Regions from separate parts of the Mus musculus genome. Here regions 1, 2, 4 and 5 are each reported to be linked to region 3. The links are microRNA targets in miRTarBase. Many come from high-throughput screens and were not tested one by one. Region 3 holds a microRNA gene; each other region holds the end of a gene's coding sequence.
Evidence for each region. The annotated mature microRNA mmu-miR-297c-5p reads AUGUAUGUGUGCAUGUACAUGU and lies in region 3 at 2,523-2,544, shown strand. An mRNA with a match to its seed (bases 2 to 7 or 8) in the 3' UTR can be bound and repressed. Matches are read on the target gene's strand: a 7mer-m8 pairs with bases 2 to 8, a 7mer-A1 pairs with bases 2 to 7 and ends in A, and an 8mer does both.

Region 1: the mRNA of Slc15a5 is a reported target of mmu-miR-297c-5p. Seed matches in the 3' UTR shown: 7mer-A1 at 3,097-3,103.
Region 2: miRTarBase lists Htr3b as a target of mmu-miR-297c-5p. Seed matches in the 3' UTR shown: 7mer-m8 at 940-946, 7mer-m8 at 944-950, 7mer-m8 at 948-954, 7mer-m8 at 952-958, 7mer-m8 at 956-962, 7mer-m8 at 960-966 and 5 more.
Region 4: miRTarBase lists Nsd3 as a target of mmu-miR-297c-5p. Seed matches in the 3' UTR shown: 7mer-m8 at 369-375.
Region 5: the mRNA of Asb7 is a reported target of mmu-miR-297c-5p. Seed matches in the 3' UTR shown: 7mer-m8 at 664-670.

Annotation. Positions count from the first base shown.
Region 1 is chr6:137,980,576-137,984,575 of GRCm38, forward strand. Slc15a5 (solute carrier family 15, member 5) reads right to left here. Exons shown (of 9, transcript NM_177787.4): 9 at 3,015-3,922. The coding sequence ends at 3,775. Among named protein-coding and RNA genes, the nearest start is that of Slc15a5, 97 kb to the right of the region's middle.
Region 2 is chr9:48,932,231-48,936,230 of GRCm38, reverse strand. Htr3b (5-hydroxytryptamine (serotonin) receptor 3B) reads left to right here. Exons shown (of 9, transcript NM_020274.4): 9 at 96-1,223. The coding sequence ends at 331. Among named protein-coding and RNA genes, the nearest start is that of Htr3a, 23 kb to the right of the region's middle.
Region 3 is chr2:10,506,504-10,511,116 of GRCm38, forward strand. Mir297c (microRNA 297c) reads left to right here and starts at 2,513; the gene lies at 2,513-2,610. The region is part of intron 10 of Sfmbt2 (Scm-like with four mbt domains 2); the gene reads left to right. Mir467d (microRNA 467d) reads left to right here and starts at 1,127; the gene lies at 1,127-1,211. It overlaps Mir466 (microRNA 466), which reads left to right and starts at 1,415; the gene lies at 1,415-1,487. It also overlaps Mir669c and Mir669a-2.
Region 4 is chr8:25,713,697-25,717,696 of GRCm38, reverse strand. Nsd3 (nuclear receptor binding SET domain protein 3) reads right to left here. Exons shown (of 23, transcript NM_001081269.2): 23 at 1-3,538. The coding sequence ends at 3,297. Among named protein-coding and RNA genes, the nearest start is that of Plpp5, 4.4 kb to the left of the region's middle.
Region 5 is chr7:66,644,234-66,648,233 of GRCm38, reverse strand. It overlaps Asb7 (ankyrin repeat and SOCS box-containing 7), which reads left to right. Exons shown (of 6, transcript NM_080443.2): 6 at 309-3,669. The coding sequence ends at 448. Among named protein-coding and RNA genes, the nearest start is that of Asb7, 43 kb to the left of the region's middle.

The DNA of each region.
Region 1 (4,000 bases), not on the chromosome of region 3:
TACCATGGTAATAGACGCTTGTCATAGGCTGTGGACTCACTGCTGTGTTTATGTAAGTTTGGCCACTTGTGGTTTCGTAAGCCTGAGAACAGCCTGAGTTCCATCCGAGAGATGGAATAGCAGCCAAGAGGTGGGTTCCAATGCAGCAGTGATGGCTGCTAGATGTGTATTGGGGGCTGGAGGCTCAGCAATTAAGAATGTACATCCTGCTCCTAGAGAGCCGGTTAGTTCCTTGCACCCAGGTGAGACAGCTCACAGTCTCTTGTTGGAAGACTTCCCTGAGACTATCTAAAAGCCTAGGGTCACTCTGATTGCTAAGTAAGCAAACATACTAAGAAATGGGACAGCACTGTGCAAGTCTCACCAGAATCTTCACAATTACCCATCATTCAAAGTGCCTTTCTTTAAGGCTGTTCAGAACCAGCGTAGTACTAACATCCAGATGGTTTTAATGACAGAGCTGAAAGGACACTTCTGAGTGAGGTCCCTGCTCCCACTGTGGTCCCAAGAATCTTTCAGTGGGGTGCACCTGACTATAGGGTCCACACGAGGGCAGTGTAAGGATCCATAGTACGTTCTGACAGAGGAAAATGTTTTGTCACAATCTCTGCCCCTGATGTGATTATTCTTCTCCTTCTTGTTCGAATTTGACAGTGGAGAGTGCTTCACCCACGTGGGCTGAGCTAATGTTGGTGATATCAAGTGTTGTTTGTGAAGGCAGCCCCTGCCACCCTTAAGAACAACAGTATAGTTGTCTGCGGAAATGACTGTTTCTGAAACTCTGCTCAAAATTTGTTTTTATTTATTCATTTATATGTATGTGTGTATGTATGTATGTATGCATATGTGATATTTGTTTGTGTGTGTGTGTCTGTGTGGTGTGCATGTACACTTGTGTACTCTGTTAAATAATAAAAATACTTTAAAAGTTAATGCGGGTGGTATACGCTTGTGTTTGTGTCTGCGCATGCCCATGCACACAGAGCAAGAGGAGGAGGATGCTGGAAGTCTTGTCTTATCATTCTCCCATGTATTCCCTTGAGACAGAGTCTCTCACTGAAGCTGAAGCTTACCTACCTAGTCAGCTATGCTGGCGGGACAAGCAGGGAACACCCTGATCTGCTTGTCTCCGCCCATCAACGCTGAGCATGTGTGGTCAGGCCAAACGTTTTTCTTTTGGGTTCTGGGAGTCATACTCATATTCTCACAGTATGTGCTCTTACCTATTGATCATTCTCCAGAGTTCCACAAAGTGCTGGGAATTCCAGGTTGGTAATGATGGGATGAATGCCAGAATTCAGAGTATCAAAGTGGGGATACTACAGACAAGGAAGTCAGCCAAGTAGAGAGATATAATAAGGGGAAATGGCCAAAGAGCCTGGGAGAAAAATCTACCCTCTTCCAGATCCTAGTTATTATTTTTTTTTCTTCAGACACTGTGGTTGTTGTTTTCCTGTTAAGAAACAAGGCAATATGTTGGGAAAACTTTATTGTTAAACTTGTATAATGAAAACACATGTAAAGATTGTTTGTGTATAGGCACAATGTCTGAATTAGGGCTTCACCGAATTCTTGTCAGGGAAAAAGAGAAAGATGTCTCTGTCATTAGCTGACAGAACCAGCTGGGGTCAGACCTGTGGGCTCATGGGTCACAGAAAACATTTTCCAAGCCCTCCATTCAAGTTTCAGTCTTGAACAGAAATCCAGCGTAAGGGGGCTTTTTAGGGAAGACTGGCTTCTGTCCGCCGCCTTTCAGCCGCTTTGTGAGCTGGAGAGAGTGAGCGGCTGGGAGAGGCCCTCGGAGGAAGCGGCTGGAACCTATGATATGCTGCAGGGACACAGGACTTCGCTGCCAGTGAGCACATTATGAGAGAAATACAGTACGGAACGCAGCGGGTTTCTGCAAACAAGGCATCCCTTTAAGTTAATTGGTGTTATATAGAAGCTGAAACGCTCCGCTTATTTACAAAGCTCCAGATTTATGTAAAGCAAAACCAATTACACTTAATGCCTAAACTACTCCAGGTGCTCAGAGATAATGTCGCCAGGCACTAGAGAAGAAACTGCCGTGTGAATGCACCCTGTTCCCAACCGAAGCGTCTGTAGTTACTGCAATTTAGCTAATCACAAGTGTCAACGCCAACCTGCGAGTTCTCAGCTCTTCTGCTGCTTGCTTTGGGTCAATTTTATAATTTCTGATGTTCTTTCATCGCAAAGGAAGAGCGAGAGTGTAATGAACACCTTTTTTTTCCCTCCCCATTACAATGTAGAAATTAAGGAGATGAAGGGACATTTGGGGAAGGGCCAAAGTCGTCCCGGTCCTTTTCTAACAGCCAGAGCACGCTGTGGCTTTTCATTTACACCAAGATGAGGCGTTTGGAACTTTCTTGATCTTCGGGATGTTCATTATGAGACCAATGCGCTAGATACTGCATTAATGAGGCTCCTTTGGGGTGTTCATTAAGCCCAAAACTGCAAGCTTGGCATTTAACCTTTCACAGCGAGGAAAGTTGTAAGAGCAGCAGGCTCAGCCCCACTGTTTTGCCAGGGAATTGTGCAAAACAACGAATAAGTTGTGGGGAAGAATTTCTGCCTATAGAGCTGACTTTATAAACTTGTCCTCCAAACAAAGGAACACATAGCAAGTAGCTGGAATAAGAAAAACGCCTGGGGTTTGACTGCGCTTAGAGCATTTAAAAATGCACATTGTAACCTAATCAAGTTACAATTGGCTACATTTCTTACTCCATGGCTCTAAACATTGGACAGATCAGCAAGAGAGGCATTCAATCACAGTCTCTTGGAATGAACAGTTAAAAAAAATGCTCTTGCCCAATCTAGCCTGGTTCTGGAGAGGAAGTCAAGGAAGGGTGCTGGGAGAACCTTTAAAGTCTGGGCGGCAGTATGGAAGAACTTAGGGTAGCGTCAACAAGACATGCAGTTTGGGGAGAAGACAGAGTCGCCTAAAATAGGAGGCTGAAAACCAAACTTTGTCACATACTGAGGCAAATTGTGATAAAGAGATGACAGGACATTAACTTTATTCAATAATAATAATAATAATAACAACAACAACAATAATAATAATAATAATAATTGTATGGCCTAGAGAGGCATCTGTCTGTATTTCCACTTCTTTGATCATCCTCTGCTACATAGTTAAGTTTGAGGGCAGCCTGGGCTCTATGAGATCTTGTCCCAAACCTGATAAGACCAAATAAAACCAAACCAAACGACCTCTATTTTAGTAACATTGCTTTTAAATTCTGAAGAAAGTTTCTTAATCAAGATATATTTTAGTAGAATGCCAAGGTCAAATATAGCAGAATTCTATACACATTTATTATCTAAACATCATATTACTTATGGTTTATAATACCTAGAATGCAATAAAGCCTTAGTGAATATACAGAAAGAAGAAGTAGAAGCATATTGTTTCTTAGCTTCTAATGACATTAAAATTATAAATAAATCTTTCATATCACCTTCAACTGCTGAACCACTGTAATGATTATACAATATGATTGACACGCTAACATGGAAAATGATTGTTTCCGGTCACAGAGTAATCACCAAGACTTTAAAATCGCTTTATTAGTTCAAGAGCATAATATATCATTAAAAGTCATCATAGTTTATTGGAAGGATCATAATTATTCATTGTAAATAAAGTACACTCTTCTTTATGTTGACTTTCCCAGTGAAACGTATGAAGTATTCGATTGAAGAAGAAAATAGTGGATAACGGGTCTCACAAGAGAATCAAATCCAGTTTCAGAGGGCTGTCTCCCAAAGATCAATACTTGAAGATGCTCCCTGTGTACTGCCATAAAACTTCAGAGACTTCTCAGTGAGGAGAAGAGTTTCTTCACAACGATTTCCACGGATGCGCTGGGCATTAAAATGATTTAGATTACAATATCTGAGAGAGAGAGAGAGAGAGAGAGAGAGAGAGAGAGAGAGAGAGAGAGAGAAAGAAAGCTTTCCTTAGGAGCAGATG
Region 2 (4,000 bases), not on the chromosome of region 3:
AGGGTGAGAGTCCCCAATTCCAGCAAAGACTTTTCCTTAAAGAATAAGAACAAGTAGCTCCTGGTTCATTCAGAGTGCTCCCCTCTATCACACAGAGTCCCCGGTCCATCAGGAGCATCGGGTCCCATCAGATACTCTGAAGGATTTCTGGTTCCAGTTCCGGTCCATCAACAACTCTCTTCGAACTCGGGATCAGATTCACCAGAAGGAGGTGGAGTGGCTGGCCATCCTGTATCGCTTTGATCAGCTGCTCTTCCGAATCTACCTTGCCGTGCTGGGGCTCTATACCGTCACCTTATGCTCTCTCTGGGCACTGTGGAGCAGAATGTGACAATGGAGACCGCTGGTCTCACTTGATATGGGGTTACAACATGTAGGGAAAGCTGAACAGTGCTTGGAGAGGGTCTGAAAAGAAGGGGTGGGTAGCCTCCAGGATGCTATTGTCTCTTTTCAGTGACTACAGAGACAAGTATCTTATTGGCTATTGACCAAACCAGTAAACCTACATGTTCATAATAAAGATGTCTAAACAGAATAGAGTATGCAGTGACAAGCAAGCTTTCACTCTCCCTGAACCAGCAGCAACTGCGTACACTTAGGTTTAAGGAAAAAAAAGTTTGCTTTTAGATTTTTGAAGCTGGGTCTCTTATAGTCCAGGCTAACCTTGAACCCCTGACATTCCAGCCTCTACCTTCCAATTGCTGAGGTTGCATGTATTGTGCCACCATGTCCAGCTCCATTTGATATCTTCTGCTTCAACAGTCTATATGTTAGCTTGGCTTAAGCCCTGCTCAAACCTGCTTAAATCCTCCAGGTTCATCAATACATTATTGTCTCCTCAATTCTGTCTTTGGTCTCATGTTATTTTATAACCTTCTCCCCTTAAATATTTGGTAGCCTTTTTAATGCATGTGTGTATAAGAGGAAGAAGAGGGATATACATACATACATACATACATACATACATACATACATACATACATACATAGATTACCTAATGGGCTACATGCTTCCGGCCCCTGACGCTGAGCCTGGTTCTATCACTGCCCATTTAGGAGACCTCAGACTTCACTTCAGTTTGCCTTATTTAAAGCAGGGGGTGTCAATATTTACTCTTTCTATATCATAGAATTATGAAGGCAAAAATCAAGCCAAATGGCTCAACGGTATCTTGAAAAGTACAAAATAGATGATGAAAATAAACTTGAGACTTGCCTGCTATCAACAGACGGTTCTGGTTGGAGTCTTCGGTATGAGTGTGGGCTTCCAGTTTCCTGTCTGCTCTTTCTGCTTCCCCCACACCTAGCCCAGGTCCCTAGAGTTCTACATGTGGGGACCCTGCAGCAATAATCACAAAGCACTTCATTCCAGCTCACTGCTTGATGGACAAGTGTCTGAGGTGCTTTCTCAAGTCCGAGGGACAAGATCCACCCAAGGTCAGACATCCTGTCTGGGCCCTCCCTGGGCATCTATATCACTATTCTTCACTGAAGGTGGTCAGACATCCAGTTTCCTGGGCATCCACATCTCTATCCATCACTGAGGGTGGTCCTCAGGTGGCTAGTGGGCAGAACGACACAGCAAGGCTTAGAGACATTATACATCCTGATGCTTCCAGCATAGGCCATGAAAGTCCAAAGCTGTTTTCTAGAAACCTATTCCAGGACTGAAATTGCCTTTAAAAAAAATCTGCCCTCCCATCCCCACCCTGAAGAAAAAGAATTTAAATTCCAACAGCTTTTACCTGCACCCCCTCTTTCATTACCTCCCAGTTAGTGCTCAACGCCAATTGTCCATGAAATTCCACTGCTGCCGTTAATGAAATGGGGAACGCAAAAAGTTTGTGAACAGGAAGTGTCCATGCAAACTCCACCTGTTTCCTTCTTCACTTCCTACTTTGTTACCACTGTCCTTCTCTGCCTCTATGGTGTTGTTAGCCTCTACATTGATGCTAGCCTTCTCCACTCCCACCCTCCCACCCCCACCCCCACCCCCGTTATCAGAGAGGGCAGTTGGAAAGGCATGGCTGTGGCCTTTCCTCCTTCTTAAACACATGCTGGAGGAGTCAGAGCCAGGAGGTCTGGTCCATCATTGTTTACCCAGGGGAGCTTGAACTTCATTTCTCAGACCATAATTTGACTTCCTTGAAATTGATGCTATAAATATTTACTATCTCCATGTCACAGACTTCTGAGAGCAAAATGAAACAACTTAATGACATTTCAAAAAGTCAATAACAGATGACAATATAAACAGGGGACTGTCTGCTTTCAATAGAGAGAAAGGTTCTGGGGCTTTTGCTGTGGGGTCTGATTTCCAGCATCTCTATCAGCATTCAAGTATGGACTCTGCTTCTCCCAAGGAGTGAGTGTCTTTATTATAGGATCTAAGGTTCAAGGGCTGATGCCATCAACTGTCCCTTTGTAGTGGAGGGACCTGAAAGAGACTTCCATTCCACATCCTGCCTAGCTCACTTTTACTGTACTTAACCATCACCTAGGCTCTTTATAACATCCTTTAAGAAGCAGTCCTTCCCTGGTGGAAGGTGAGCTCTAAGTAGACTTCCCTCTGTCTAGAGTGCCACCACCCTGATATCAGCTGGCAGTCCCAGGGCCAGATCTGCAGCCCAAAGCAGTAGTGCTATGAGCACATGGCTCTACAGTGCTCCTGAGAGAGTGTGCTCTGCCCTGGAAGAAACATGGCTGCAGCCTGGCTTACAGCCCTTCCACTCGCTCTTCCTTCTCATGAGTTTTGTTTCAGAGATGAAGGAATCCGAGGAACAGAACAAAAATGGGATTCTCCCAGCTGCGACTGCTCCTGCCATCTGCTGTCCCCCATAATCTAAGAAATCACTGCTCCAGGGTGATGTCTTGAATACAAAGAAAAGCACAGGTCCTGGGCTAGCCAAGTAGCCTCTGCTTCATCTTATTCTCTCTGCTATGGTGACCTCCCTGAGCATGGTAGTCTGTCTTTTTGTTCATTTCGCTGTCTTGATTTTTTTTTTAAAGATGAATGTCTCATGCAGTCTGCCTCACCTCAAACATGCTATGTATTTGAGGATGACCTTGGTCTTCTGATCCTACTGCCTCTACCTCCTAAACAACGGGATTACAAGTATGCCTCACCACACCTGGTTTTATATGACATGTAGAATAAACTGAGGGCCTGTGTGTTCTAAGGAAGCACCCTGCCAACTGAGCTACAAAATAATGAGGTGATAGAGGGTGTCCCTTGCCTCCAGGGATACCGCCTTTTACAGACATTCTAGAGCTGGAGTAGAGAAAGAAGCTGAGCCTTTTACCAGTTAAATCTCCCTCCACAGCAAAGCTCCTGTGGCCTCACTGCCTGGGTTAGAGGGTGAGAATCAGGAAACCACACAGTAGCCATGAAGGGAGTATGGCTCCAAGACAGAGTTCTTGCATGGCAGGCAGTCATCCAGGACACACCCCAGGTCTTGGTATGTTTACTCTGGGAAGGACTGGTCTCCTATGATCCCTTGCAAATGCCACTCAGTGTCCAGGGACCCCACCCATTCTCCTTGTCAGCTTGCCTAAACTCGTATCTAGTCTCATGTCTAGTCTATGTCCCATTCAGTTCCCTGGCTCTGGCTCCTTGGATGTTGCCACTGCTCAGTTCTGAGTTATTTACCTGCAGAGACGGCAAAAACTTCATAATTAGCTGAGCCCCAGCGTGGAGGCTTTTATGAGCAGCTCCGTCCCCCACTGCTCTCTGCTGTCCGTAATTGAAATGACCCACACCAGTGATTAGATTAGGGGGCTGAAGGAGCCCAGCACGATACCCCCATCCTCTCCCCTGTCCTGTTGGGGAAGTGATGTAGTTAAATTTGTGCTTCATTTGGCAGAGGCCATAAAGCGGGAATCACAGCTCGGCTTTCTGCAGGGGCTGGAAGACACTGCTGGGCTGTAGGCAGTAAGCGCCAGTATGGGCTCAGAGGGAGGGGGCTACTTTCTCACCTTTACCTTGCTTTCTTACCTTTCCT
Region 3 (4,613 bases):
TTCAAATTTGTGCTGAATTTCATGATGAGTTGGAAATCAGCACGGGATTCATGTGATGCCCACCAAGAATGTGCATGTGTGTATAGTTGTGTGCATATTCATTTCTCTATATGAATATGCATATGCACACATGCACACACATTCATAGGAATGGCCAGAGTTATTTCTTAGGTAGGAGGTGAATAATCTTGCTAGAGTCAGGAGAATATGGTGTTCAAGTTTATGTTTAACTTCATGATGCATTAGAGATCAGCATGTGTTTCATTGATGCACACCAAAATGTGCATGTGTGTGTAGTTGTGTGCATATTCACTTCTCTATGTGAATATGCATATACACACATGCAGACACAGGAATGGCACTCATATATCCTTTGGAATGGTATGTGACTCAGAGCTTTAGAGCTTATGCAGTGCTGGGCCAGAGCTATGTCTCAGTTAGGAGGTGGATGCTCTTGCCAGCGTCAGGAGGTCCCAGAGTTCAAATTCATGTTTAACTTCCTGATGAGTTACAGATCAGCCTGTTATTCATGTGATTGTTTCTGTGTATGTGTATAGATAAGTTTGTCTGTACATGCGGATATATGAAAAGACATATATTGACACATATTCACACATGCATGCATACAGAAACACATGGCAGTCATCCATAAGTTTTATATGTGCTTAGAATTTCATAGAGTGTATATTTATGGTACAGTGAAATATCTCGCCAACTAGATGAAAACCGCTTGCCAGAATCAGAAGTCTTGGAGTTCAGAATCATGCTTAACTTAATGATCAGTTAGTGATCATCCTGGATTCGTGTGATGGACCCTAGGTATGTACATGCACACATAATTTTGTGTGCATGTACATGTGTGTATATGATTATACATAACACACACACACACACACACACGTATAAAAGCAAGCACACACACACCAAGGTATGGCATTCATCGATCCATTTGAATGATATATGTCTTAGAATGTTACTGATTATGCAGTAGAAGGACAGTGAATGGTCTCACTCACAAGGTGTAAACAATTGGCATTGTCAGGAGGATCAGGAGTTCAATTTCATGCTTAACTTCATGAGCAGTTAGAGATCATCCTGGAATAATGTGATGGCCCCTATGTATGTGCCTGTGTGCATAAGTGCGCGCATGTATATGCGTGTATATTTTATGCATATACATACACACACCTACACACACATGCACACAGACATGCGGGAATGGCCCTCACGGATCCATTTGAATGATATGTGACCTACTGCTTTGGAGGTTATGTATGACTGGGCCAGGGTGAGGTCTCACAAACCACGGGAAAACCCTTGGTAGAGTCGGGAAGATCAGGAGTGCAAGTTCATGGTAAAGGCATGATGAGTTAGAGGTCATCCTGGCATTCATGTGATTGCCCCTATGTATGTGTATATGTGTTTATGTGTGTGTACATGTACATATGTGAATATGATATCCATATACATACACGCACACATAAGACACATATGAGCACACAGGCACACAGGAATGGCACTCACTCATTGATCTATGTGACTGTGAGCTTTGGAGATTATGTGTGACTAGGTCAGGGAGAGTTATCACCCATCATGTTAAAAATGCTTGTTAGAATCAGGAGGTCAGGAGTTCAAATTCATGCTTTATTTCATGATGACTTAGAGATCTGCCTGGGAATCATGTGATGTCCCCATGTATGTGTATATGTGTGTAACTGTGTGTGGATTGTGTATATGAATATACATACCTACACACACATAGACCCATCCACAGACACAGACACACACACGCATGCCACTCCTCAGTCCATTTGAATGATATGTGACTTAGAGTTTTAGAGATTCTGCAGTACTCAATAGGGAGAGGTCTCACACCACAGAGTCAGGTGGATCAAGAGTTCAAATTCATGTTTAACTTCATGATGAGTTAGAGATCAGCATGCTATTCATGTGATGACCATAAAGAATGTGCATGTGTGTATAGCTTTGTGCACATACACTTCTCTATATGAATATGCATATACACGCATGCACACACACTCACTCACAGGAATGGCCAGAGCTATGTCTCAGTTAACTTACCAGGTAAAACGCTTGCCTTTTGGATCAGCAGTTCAAATTCCTGAATAACTTCAAAATGACCTAGGGATCAGCCTGGCCTCATGGCATCCTCCCCCCATATATGTGCATGTGTGTATAGTTTTGTGTATATGTACATGTGTGTATACAAATATACATCTACATACAGACAAACATAAACACACAGGCACGCACACACACACACACACACACGCGCACACACACAGAGGAATGTCACTCATTGATCCTTTTGAATGACAGGTGACTCAGAGCTTTAGAGATTATGCAGGGCTGGGCCAGTGAGTGCTCTCACTCACAAGGTGAAAATGCTTGCTTGCCAGACTTTGGATGACCAGGAATCAAAATTCATGCTGAACTTCATGATGAGTTCGTGATCAGCTTCGGAGTCTTGTGATGACCCTAGTATATATGCCTGTGTGTATATGTATGTGTGCATGTACATGTGTGTATATGAATATACATATACATACACACATACCCATACAAACATGCATACAAACACACAAAAATTGGCACTCATCCATCTATTTGAATAATTAGTGACTTAGAGTCTTAGAGATTCTGTATGACTGGGGCTGACAGAGAGAGGTCTCAGTCACCAGGAGAAGACTTGCTAGATTCAGGGTGATCAGGAGTGCACATTCATGTTAACGGCATGATGAGTTAGAGATCAGCCTGGCATTCATGTGATGCCTCCATGTATGTGCATGTGTGTATAGTTGTGTGTGGATGTGTGTATTTGCATATAAATAACATACACACACACACACAAGTAAACACAAGTGCACAAACAGACACAGGAATGCCATTCATCGATCCATTGGAATGATAAGTGATTTAGAGTTTTAGAGATTTTGAAGTAGAGACGGTGAATTGTCTCACTCACCAGTTGTAAACGATTGAAAGAGTCAAGAGGATCTGGAGTTCCAATTCACTCCTATGTTCAGCTAGATAGCATCCTGGTATTCATGTGATATCGCCCATGTGTGTGCATGTGAGTATAGTTGTGTGTGCATGTCTGTATTTGAATATACATAACATACACACACTAATGCAAGTACACACACACACACACACACACACACACACTCACACCAATGCCACTCATCAATCCATTGGAATGATGTGTCACTTAGAGTATTAGAGATTATGCAGTACTTGGCCAGTGAGTGCTCTCAGTCTCTAGGTGAAAATGCTTGCTAGAGTTAAGAGTATTCAGGAGTTAAAACACATACTGACCTTCATGAGGATTTAGAGATCAGCCTGTGATTCATGTGATGGCCCCATGATTGTGCATGTGTATATAGTTGTGTGTGCATGTTCATGCATGTATTTGCATATACATAACATACACGTATAAACGCAAGCACACACACATAGAGACACAAGAATGGCTTTCATCGATCCCTTTGAATGATATGTCACTTAGCATATTAGAGATTATGCAGTACTTGGCCAGTGAGTGCTCTTATTCTCTAGGTGAAAATGCTTGCTAGAGTTAAGAGTATCAGGAGTTTAAATTCATGCTTATCCTCATGAGAGATCAGCCTGAGATTCCTCCATGTATGTGCATGTGTGTATAGTTGTGTGTGCATGTTCATGTCTATATTTGAATATACATAACATACACACACACGTATAAACGCAAGCACACACACAGACACAGGAATGGCATTCATTGACCCATTTAAATGATATGCCACTCAGAGTAGTAGAGATTATTCAGTATGGGGCAAGTGAGTGCTCTCATTCTCTAGGTGAAAATGCTTACTATAGTTAGGAGTATCAGAAGTTCAAATTTATGCTTATCTTCAGCATGATTTAGAGATAAGCCTGTGATTCATGTGATGCCTTAAGTGTACATGCAGGTTTGTATAGTTGTGTGTGTATGTTCATGTGTCTATATGGATATACATAACATATACATAGACATATAAACCCTAGCGTGCACACACACACACACACACACACACACACACACACACACACACACACGAATAACATTCATAGATCCATTTATATGATATGCCACCTAGAATATTAGAAATTATTCAGTACTGGGCCAGTGAGTGCTGTCATTTTCTAGGTAAAAATGCTTGCTAGAATCAGGAGTATCAGGAGTTCAAATTCATGCTTATCTTCAGGAGGATATAGATATCTGCCTGTGATTCATGTGATTGCCACCCATGTATGTGCATGGGTGTATAGTTTTGTGTACATGTGCATGTGTGTATATGAATAGACATAACATGCACATACATATAAACACAAGCACACACACACACAGAGACACAGGAATGACACTCATCGATCCATCTGAATGATAGGTGACTTAGAGTTTTAGAGATTATGCAGTAGTGGGACAGTGAATGGTCTCAATCACCAGGTGTAAACCACAGAGTCAGGAGGATCAGGAGTTCAAATCCATGCTTAATTTCAGTTGGAGATCATCCTGGTATTTCTGTGATGCTACCCATGTATGTGCATGTGTGCTTACTTGTATGTGCATGTGC
Region 4 (4,000 bases), not on the chromosome of region 3:
GGGCATGGCATGTGGTTGGCAGCATTTTAGCTCCGTGGGGAAGTGCTGCAAGAGGAGTGTTGTTTTGACAAGATTAGCGGCAGGTCTTGGAGAGCCGGGTCTATGTTCTGAACAGATAATGGGAGGACTTCAAACTGTAGTCTGGCTTTGACCCGAAACAGTAAGAAAGTACTCAAAAAAGAAGCCACTGCATAAAAGCTGCCTACCAGTCCAGCCGAGTATTTCACATGAGCAGACAGACCCTCAGTATCTCAGATCCATATTAGTTACACACACTTCCGCAAACACTGCAGTGGGAGACACTGACAGAAGCAGTGGGCTGCAGGCCCTTATTATCTCTTTAGTTTCAAATACTTCCTAACTCAGTATGTATGTGTACACACACACACACACACACACACACACACACACACACACACACCACTTATATATATAAAACATTTTATATTTATATATATATATATGTTATTTATATAACGCACAGAAAACTCAAGTCTATTCTACAGCTTAGGAAAGGTAATTTTTGAGAATTAAAATAAGAGTAGGTAGGGCTTGCAAAGCAAAAGTGAAGATAAAACCTACTCCACTCTGATCCCCACCCTGACTGGAGACTGAAATCAGAGGTTACTGCAGCACACTGGCAGTGACGAGCACTGGTCCCATCCTGCTTGGCCAGACACAGGCAGCTACCCTGGCGGCCCAGCGACACCTACAAGGCACAGTGCTTGTGATGGTCTCGTGCTATCATCTCTAGCTCTTTCCAGCCCAATTTCTAAAGCTTTCCACTGATAACCAGAACTCTCATCTTCCTCCTGAGGTTAGGAAATACCACTAGTATCCCATGCTGCTTTGAGTCCTTTATTTCTGGGCTGAATAAAATCAACCACAAATGCTGTATACCTAAACCATATTGAAAAGCTACCACCAAGCAGCTTCAGGCTCCGAGTAAGCACAGTGCCTTGCAATGTCACTGACACAGGACATGAAACGACCGACGGTGTACGTATACTTACACCAGTCAGCCAACGTTCTGCTTCCTAACCCTCAGTTCTAAGACCCAGGCTGCGATGATGGCACAGGCAGTCGCCCTTGCACTTGGCTTGGAGCAGGCAGGCTTCTGAGAGCAAGCCTGTTAGTCATCTAGTAGGAAAAGATCTGAAAAGTGCAAAGTCCTTTTATAGATATAAAAACAAGCGAGCCATAGCAGAGAAGCAGGAGAGAGATAGGTCAGGGTAGGGTATTTATAAATACATGATGAACCCTGGGGCTTACTCTATAAAAGTTATCAGATACTAAAAAGCACGAGGTCAAAAAGGAAACAAGATACAATCTCATATCGGACATTGTTCTCATGAGGGTTACATTTGGAATATCAAAGGAAGTCGCTTATCAACAAGTTTAAAAAATGTTATGTCTGTATAAAATAAAATTTAATATGACAAAACCCAGATACTCTTACATTATTGTTTTAAAGGACATCAAACTTCATAATTGCTCAAGAGCAGAGAGTTTAGTGTTTGCGTGGGCTGTGCTTCGTTCGAGTCGGTCGTAGGGACTGCACTGGGTGCTGGGTACCGTCCTGTCTCCCTCCTCACAGGAGCTTGTCTAGCCAGCGGGATTACCACAAGTGCTAGACTAGGTAAATGGCAGTTCAGGAGCTTAGAGAGGAACTGTAGTGTCTGTTGCCTATAAATTGCACATTTATATATATTTAAAAAAAAGAGGCACAAAATTGCTCTTTCTTTTGTCCAGAGATGAGGTCTGAATTGATTTGTAAAAAACTAAAAAAAGGACAAACGCACCTAACATAACTACAGGGTGTCATAGAGCATCTCGTGCCCTACGTTAGTAAAGTATAGGTTCTTGAGGAGAAGAGAGCCTACTGGGTACCTCCAGTAAGCAGTTGAAACACACTGAGGAAGTTCATATTTCATGGTAACACTAGATTTTTATTTAGTCTAATGTTACCATGTCTGACATGATTTCACACAAGTAATACTGGACTAGATCCTAAGTGCTAGATGCAAGTGAATTCTGCGGGCCGACGCCTTGGTATGCTTGGGTCTGTACTATTCAAACCTCACAGCCATGTTTGCAAACACTGACTTTGTGGGGGGCGGTTTCAAGTGCTTTCTACATGGAGCATCTCTGTGGCTCCTACATACCCTGTAAAAGAGCAAGTTCTTCCCCTTATGCAATGGGGACAGTCTTAAGTATTGCATAATACTAAGTAGAAATGGTTCACATATAACTTAGGGATGTTTCTGTCCACTTGCATCATCCCTAAGTTAGGAAATCAACTGAAAAAGTCTATTTCATATAATTCAGATTCAGTTATATAGCTTTACCAGGAAACATGACTGAGTGACCCAGCTGGCAAAGGAAACATGATTGGCAGAGGGAAAGACAGAAAATAAAATGCCCTTAAATTCCAGGTTAGACTGGAGTCTACATTAAATTGGTCAGAAAATGGTGCATATATGATCCAATGTTTGGTCTGTGCCTTATCTTTCTTTAGCCTCTTGCCAGTGGTCAGGACAGCAGGAATGAGCATTCCCCTATGTATTCACATCCCTCAAATGTTTCAGAAAATCACAATGAGTAGAATGCACTCACTCCTTGTCCCTCTAAGATATTTCTACGTAGAGTTGGCGCACCATGAAGCCCACCCAGTTTAAGACCACAGAGGTAAATGCTGTCAAGGAGTTTGTTTTCAAGAGGCCAGTCTGAATACTTGCTGAGAGCCTTCTCTGACCCGAGAAAAGGCCCGGGAAAAAGGAAAGAGAAGTTAGCCACTCTATGGCTCAGGAAAGAGGTATATAAAGGTGACAGTCATGCACGCTTGCACACACACGCACACGCGCACGTACACGCACGAGCACTCATGGAGGTTAGATTGTTTGAACTACACTTCTCAGAATACCTAAAAATGAAAATAAATACAGGAATGACTACTTTCACTTTACATAACCCGGGAGTACATCTTAGGCTTTACACTGATCGTATAGACAAAACTTTCTTTTAATTTTCTCTCTCTCAACTCTAAAAACAAGGACACCTCTTTTGCTGATTGCAAAGACACTGAAGCACAATGAAAGGCAAGAAGAGACCAAGGGAATTTTGCTGTCCACAAAATTATCCCCCAAACAACAAAATAGAAAACCCAGACACCAGCAAGTGCTTTAGCCTGTGTGAGCTGGCGCCCATCTCCGTCAAGGCGGACTGACGGCAGGGCAGGGCAGGCGTGGCCTCTCTGCGCCTCTTTACTGAGAGCAGTGGGAGGAGGTCACCACCGCTCACTCCTTTACTTCTTCTCCACTATCTTGGGATTCCCATTTACATCTGATCTTGCTCCAGTATTCTGGTGACACAGGAGATGCAGGGTCGTGGCTGGAGCAGCAGAGACGACCTTCTAGTGCAGAGGGCACCAGAGCCCCTTTTCCATGAGCCTTACAGAATGAGTGTGGACAGAATTCACAGAAGGAAACGGCTACACTGCCACACTCGTCACACCGATGCCACGGGCACTCCCACTTTCCTAATGCAGGGGTGGGGAGGAGAGGGAAGTATCTGTTAGCTGATTTCTTGATTACCCACCAAAAACCCAAGAGGTACCCCCTCCCCTTTTTGGAGACAAAGTCTCATTGTGTAGCCTGGCTGCTCTGCCACCTGTTTCCTAAGTGCTAGGATTAAAGGCATATGTTATTAACCCCATTTTGAAACAAGGTCTTTCTCCAAAGTGTAGGCTGGCCTCGATCCTCTGGCCTGTGCCTCCCAAGCACTGGGATTAACAATGGCACCACTGTACTTGGCTTCTACCTGCTTTGCTTAGAGAATCCCTCTCCAAACTTCAGCCAAACAAACTTCCATCTTGTAGTGTTTTTTCTTTCATACAGATATGAGCTACTGGCCCAAACCCAATGTCATAGGTGCCACCTACAACCCATGGCGACCATAAACAGGAAATGTGCCCTCAATACCACATGAGGTACACGTCATT
Region 5 (4,000 bases), not on the chromosome of region 3:
CCCACCTCCTGGAGATTCCACAGCACTCACCAAGGCAGTACCATCATTCAGGCACAGAATATTCTAATCGGGTGCCTGACAGGACCATTGCATACTCAGACCATAACATTACCGCCTTGTAAAGAGTTTTGGAAAAGACCAAGTGGGTGAGACACCACAGGAAGGGACAGATGACACTTGAGAATCTCGGTCAGTCCTTTGACTGTAAGATCCACAGTAGACCCTTCCTCAGACAATGCCTTCCCTCACATCCCTCCCTCTCCAATGCTTTGTACCTCTGTAACGTTCTCTTTTCTCTGTCATTTTAGGACAGCCCAGAACCCTGCAGGACCTGTGCCGAATTAAAATTCGACAGTGTATAGGCCTTCAAAACCTGAAGCTGCTTGATGAGCTACCAATTGCCAAGGTCATGAAAGACTACTTAAAACACAAATTTGATGATATCTGATACACCTGGACTGTGGACAAGATTACGAGTTATTCCAGATACTTAAAAGGCTTCAGGCCTTGCACAAAGTATATCCTATGCAATTTCTGATTTGCGGTCAAGTCAGAAAGCAGGTATACACTTTTAGGTTTATGTTTGTTTGGATTTCATTTGGGGGAGGGATCTGTGTGTGTGTGTGTGTGTGTGTGTGTGTGTGTGTGTGTGTCTACACTCACACATACACACCCCACGCTTGAAGGTCTTAATTTGGTTTCTTGGTCCAAGTCGATGAGGTCCAAGCCTTTCTATACAATACTGCATTTAGAAAATTTGTTTTTCCTAAGTGCACAATATAGACAGGTTTGAAGCAGAGAATTTTCCCTTTTGATGCTCTGGTTTCATTGGTGAACACGGTACTAGGAACCAGTAGACGGAATACTTCTTAAAGTTTGGAGGTCTCAGGCTCACCTCCTGTGATCCTGGGTGATGCTGGAAAATTCTCTGTGAAGAAACTTACAGTAATGCTGTCGCCTCATTCATTTTTAATGAGTACAGATGAGCTGTTTAAAAATCCTTTTTCCCTTCTAATTAATGTAGCTTTCCGATGAAAAAAACCAACCCAGGACCTCGGCTTCCTTTGGTGTGCGCTTTTTTTTTAAATTATTTTTTTTAACAACTGTAAGACACTACCCTGAAACATTGTGTTTCAACTCCCCCACCCCCTCTCTTATTGAATTGTGCTTTTAAAACAAAATCAATGGGGAAAGGAATTAACTTTTTAAAGCCAGTGTATTCTGTTTTTTAAAAAACAAAACAAAAACAAAAAATGGTGCCTCTTGTGCAACTCTCTTGGTGTCGTCTCTGGATGGTTTGCTCTTCCTGTTCTTCAGTTGGCTTCCTTGTGCCCCTTGGAGCCATCATCACCACCTCCATCCCACAGCAGGCCACCAGGATCACCTCAGTTTCCACCTTAAACTTTGTGTTTTATTTCACCTTAAAGAACAAATTTCATATTCTGGTGATGACAGAGGTCCCTAGAAATAGCCCACATTCTTGCTAAACCATTCTACTTTAATGACTAAATATTTCAGGGTGGTTTCTTGGTGGATTTTTTTGCCTTCCTGGTAATATGTATACATATATATTTTAAGGGGAAAGTCTCTAATGGGCACCCTTTTGTAAGCCTGGCAAATTGCTGATACGCTAATTAAGTATTTCCTGTCTATTTTGAAGGTGAGTACAGTAAAGCTCTTCAAGACAAATATTTTAATTTTCTGGGTTGGTTGGACAAGTATGTGCAAGAAAGACCCGGATGTAGTAAAGTGTTAGTAACAAGGGGGAGGGCCCAGAGGCCCTAGGCATCATGGGTGTTCCTGGGGACACACACTCACTGCTTCATTTGACGTTATGTTAGTTTGAAGACACCCCCTTTTAAGTTCCCCATGCCATTCTTAGTGCTGTGACAAATTTTTTAAATATTTATAAACTGTTAATAAATTTGCTATCAAAAGGTTGCAGGATAAGGGCTTCTCCTTTCTTGTCAGAATTGCCAGTTTGAAGGCATAGAGGGTAAAGTCTTCCCCTCCTAACATAATTAAGCAGAATTAGGTTTCCCTGAGTTCAGGCTAGCAGTGTTGTTCACTCAAGCCCAAAGCTTGCCGTCTTGGCCAGAGTAGCTGTGACCGCAGAACATTGGGTTTGCGTGTGCCTAGGTGGCACAGGGATTCCTGAACAGGCAAAAGGATGCTTCAGGGACTTGCTGATGTGGCCCATAGCCTCCTTCAGGGAGAGCATGAGGCCAGAGTGATAGCTGGGACCCAGGAAGATAGGGATGGCTGTGGTGACCCTGGCTGAAAGGTTACCTCCATGGAGAGTCCCCTTCTAAGGCACCTGCAAAGCTGTGTTCTCAGTCTTTATTCAGGCCCCAGGTCAGGGCTGGAGACACACTACCAGCCTTAGGGACACAAAGTGACCAGAAATTAGTTGAGTGTAACTTGTGTTAGAGCCCCAGCCCAGCATGGAAAGTGGTGGGAGGAGAGCTGAGAGTCTGGACTCTGAGCTGCCATATTAGTGTCCAGTTGCACAGGAATCATACATGAAAATTAATTTATTTTGTAAGTTAAAAGTGACATTCACTTTCCAGCCATTCAGAGGGTTCTGAACTAAGCCACTGAAATCGAATTGAATCAGGGGATCCCAAATAAAAAGATCATATTAAGGCAAATTCTTTGTGCTGTTTACTGCTGTGACTTCAGAAAAAAAAACAAAAAACAAAAAAACAAAAACAATTCTGAGTGCTCTTCCAGGAATTGAAAATTCTATTTAATGAAGAAGTGTATAATTCCATTATTTATTGTTTGTGGTTTGATTTATCTGGAAGCTTGAGAGAATGTCCTTTGTTTATACTAGACCCCAGTCCTGTGCTGTATTCTATGGTAACGGAAGGGCTGTCCAGTTGCTGATGTGGTTGTGGTGACCATGCAGGTCTGCCCCTGAATTTGTTATCAGAGAAGCAGTCTGTGGCCCTAGGAGAGAAAACAGCCCCTCATAACACAGCCCGTTGACTCAAAATTCACACTGAGTCTTTTGCGCTTCTTTTGAAATTTATTATTTAAGCCTATTACTAAAACTTTATAAAATGCATTTGGCGAATACACCAAAGAAACCAGCTCATAAAATATGATCATTAACGAACTGCAAACCTCATCTTTTGAAAACAAGGGTGTTTCTTTGTAAATATTTGTGTTTATAAATGTACAGCAGAGTTAAGAGTGTTTTTTTAGATTATTTAATTCCCATATTTCTAAACTATTTACTACAGAATAACCCCTGCTTATTAGTTTGGGTGACTTGATTGTTTGTTTTTTTTTTTTTTAATTCATTACCAGTCATGCTTGGAGTGACGATTCTGCTGGAGAGGTCAGCACTCTGGCAGTGGCTGGAGTCGCTTGTAAAGCATGGGGGAGACTAGCATGACCTGTCAGACTCCTCCCTCGTAAGACACCAGGAAAGCGTAGCTTAATGGCCAGAGTGGACCATGAGAAAGAGTTTCTAACTTCCCTACTGAATCACCTGTTAGCCCAGGGTGGAATTGGGACAAGGCTGTTTGCCCACAAATTTAGCTTTCATGTAACTCCCAGTGTGTTGTATCATAATATATTCTGTTCTTTCTTTGTAACGTAAGTTTTGCTTTGGGTCGATTTGAATTAAAAAAAAAAATCTTAAATCTGGTTTAAAAAAAATACTGAATTTGTGTTTTCTTTCTCTTCTATCTTAACTTTTTCACAACTCCAGGTGTTTGGTAAAGTGGAATAAAGCTGTATTTTTCATCAGCACATTAGGTCACTGGTGACTGGATGAGAAAATTATTCAAAAACAATGCACATTTCAAGCCATTTCTTTAACTCTCTTTTATTTACTTATTTTTTAGTGTTTTATTACATTTGTTTATTTACCTACCTGCTTTGTGGAGCTGAGAGGAAAGCCTGCAGGAGTCTATTCTCTGCTGCTCTGTGCCCCGCCCACCATGGGGTTCAAGCCCTTCATGTGCTGAGCCCCCCACCCCCACCCCGC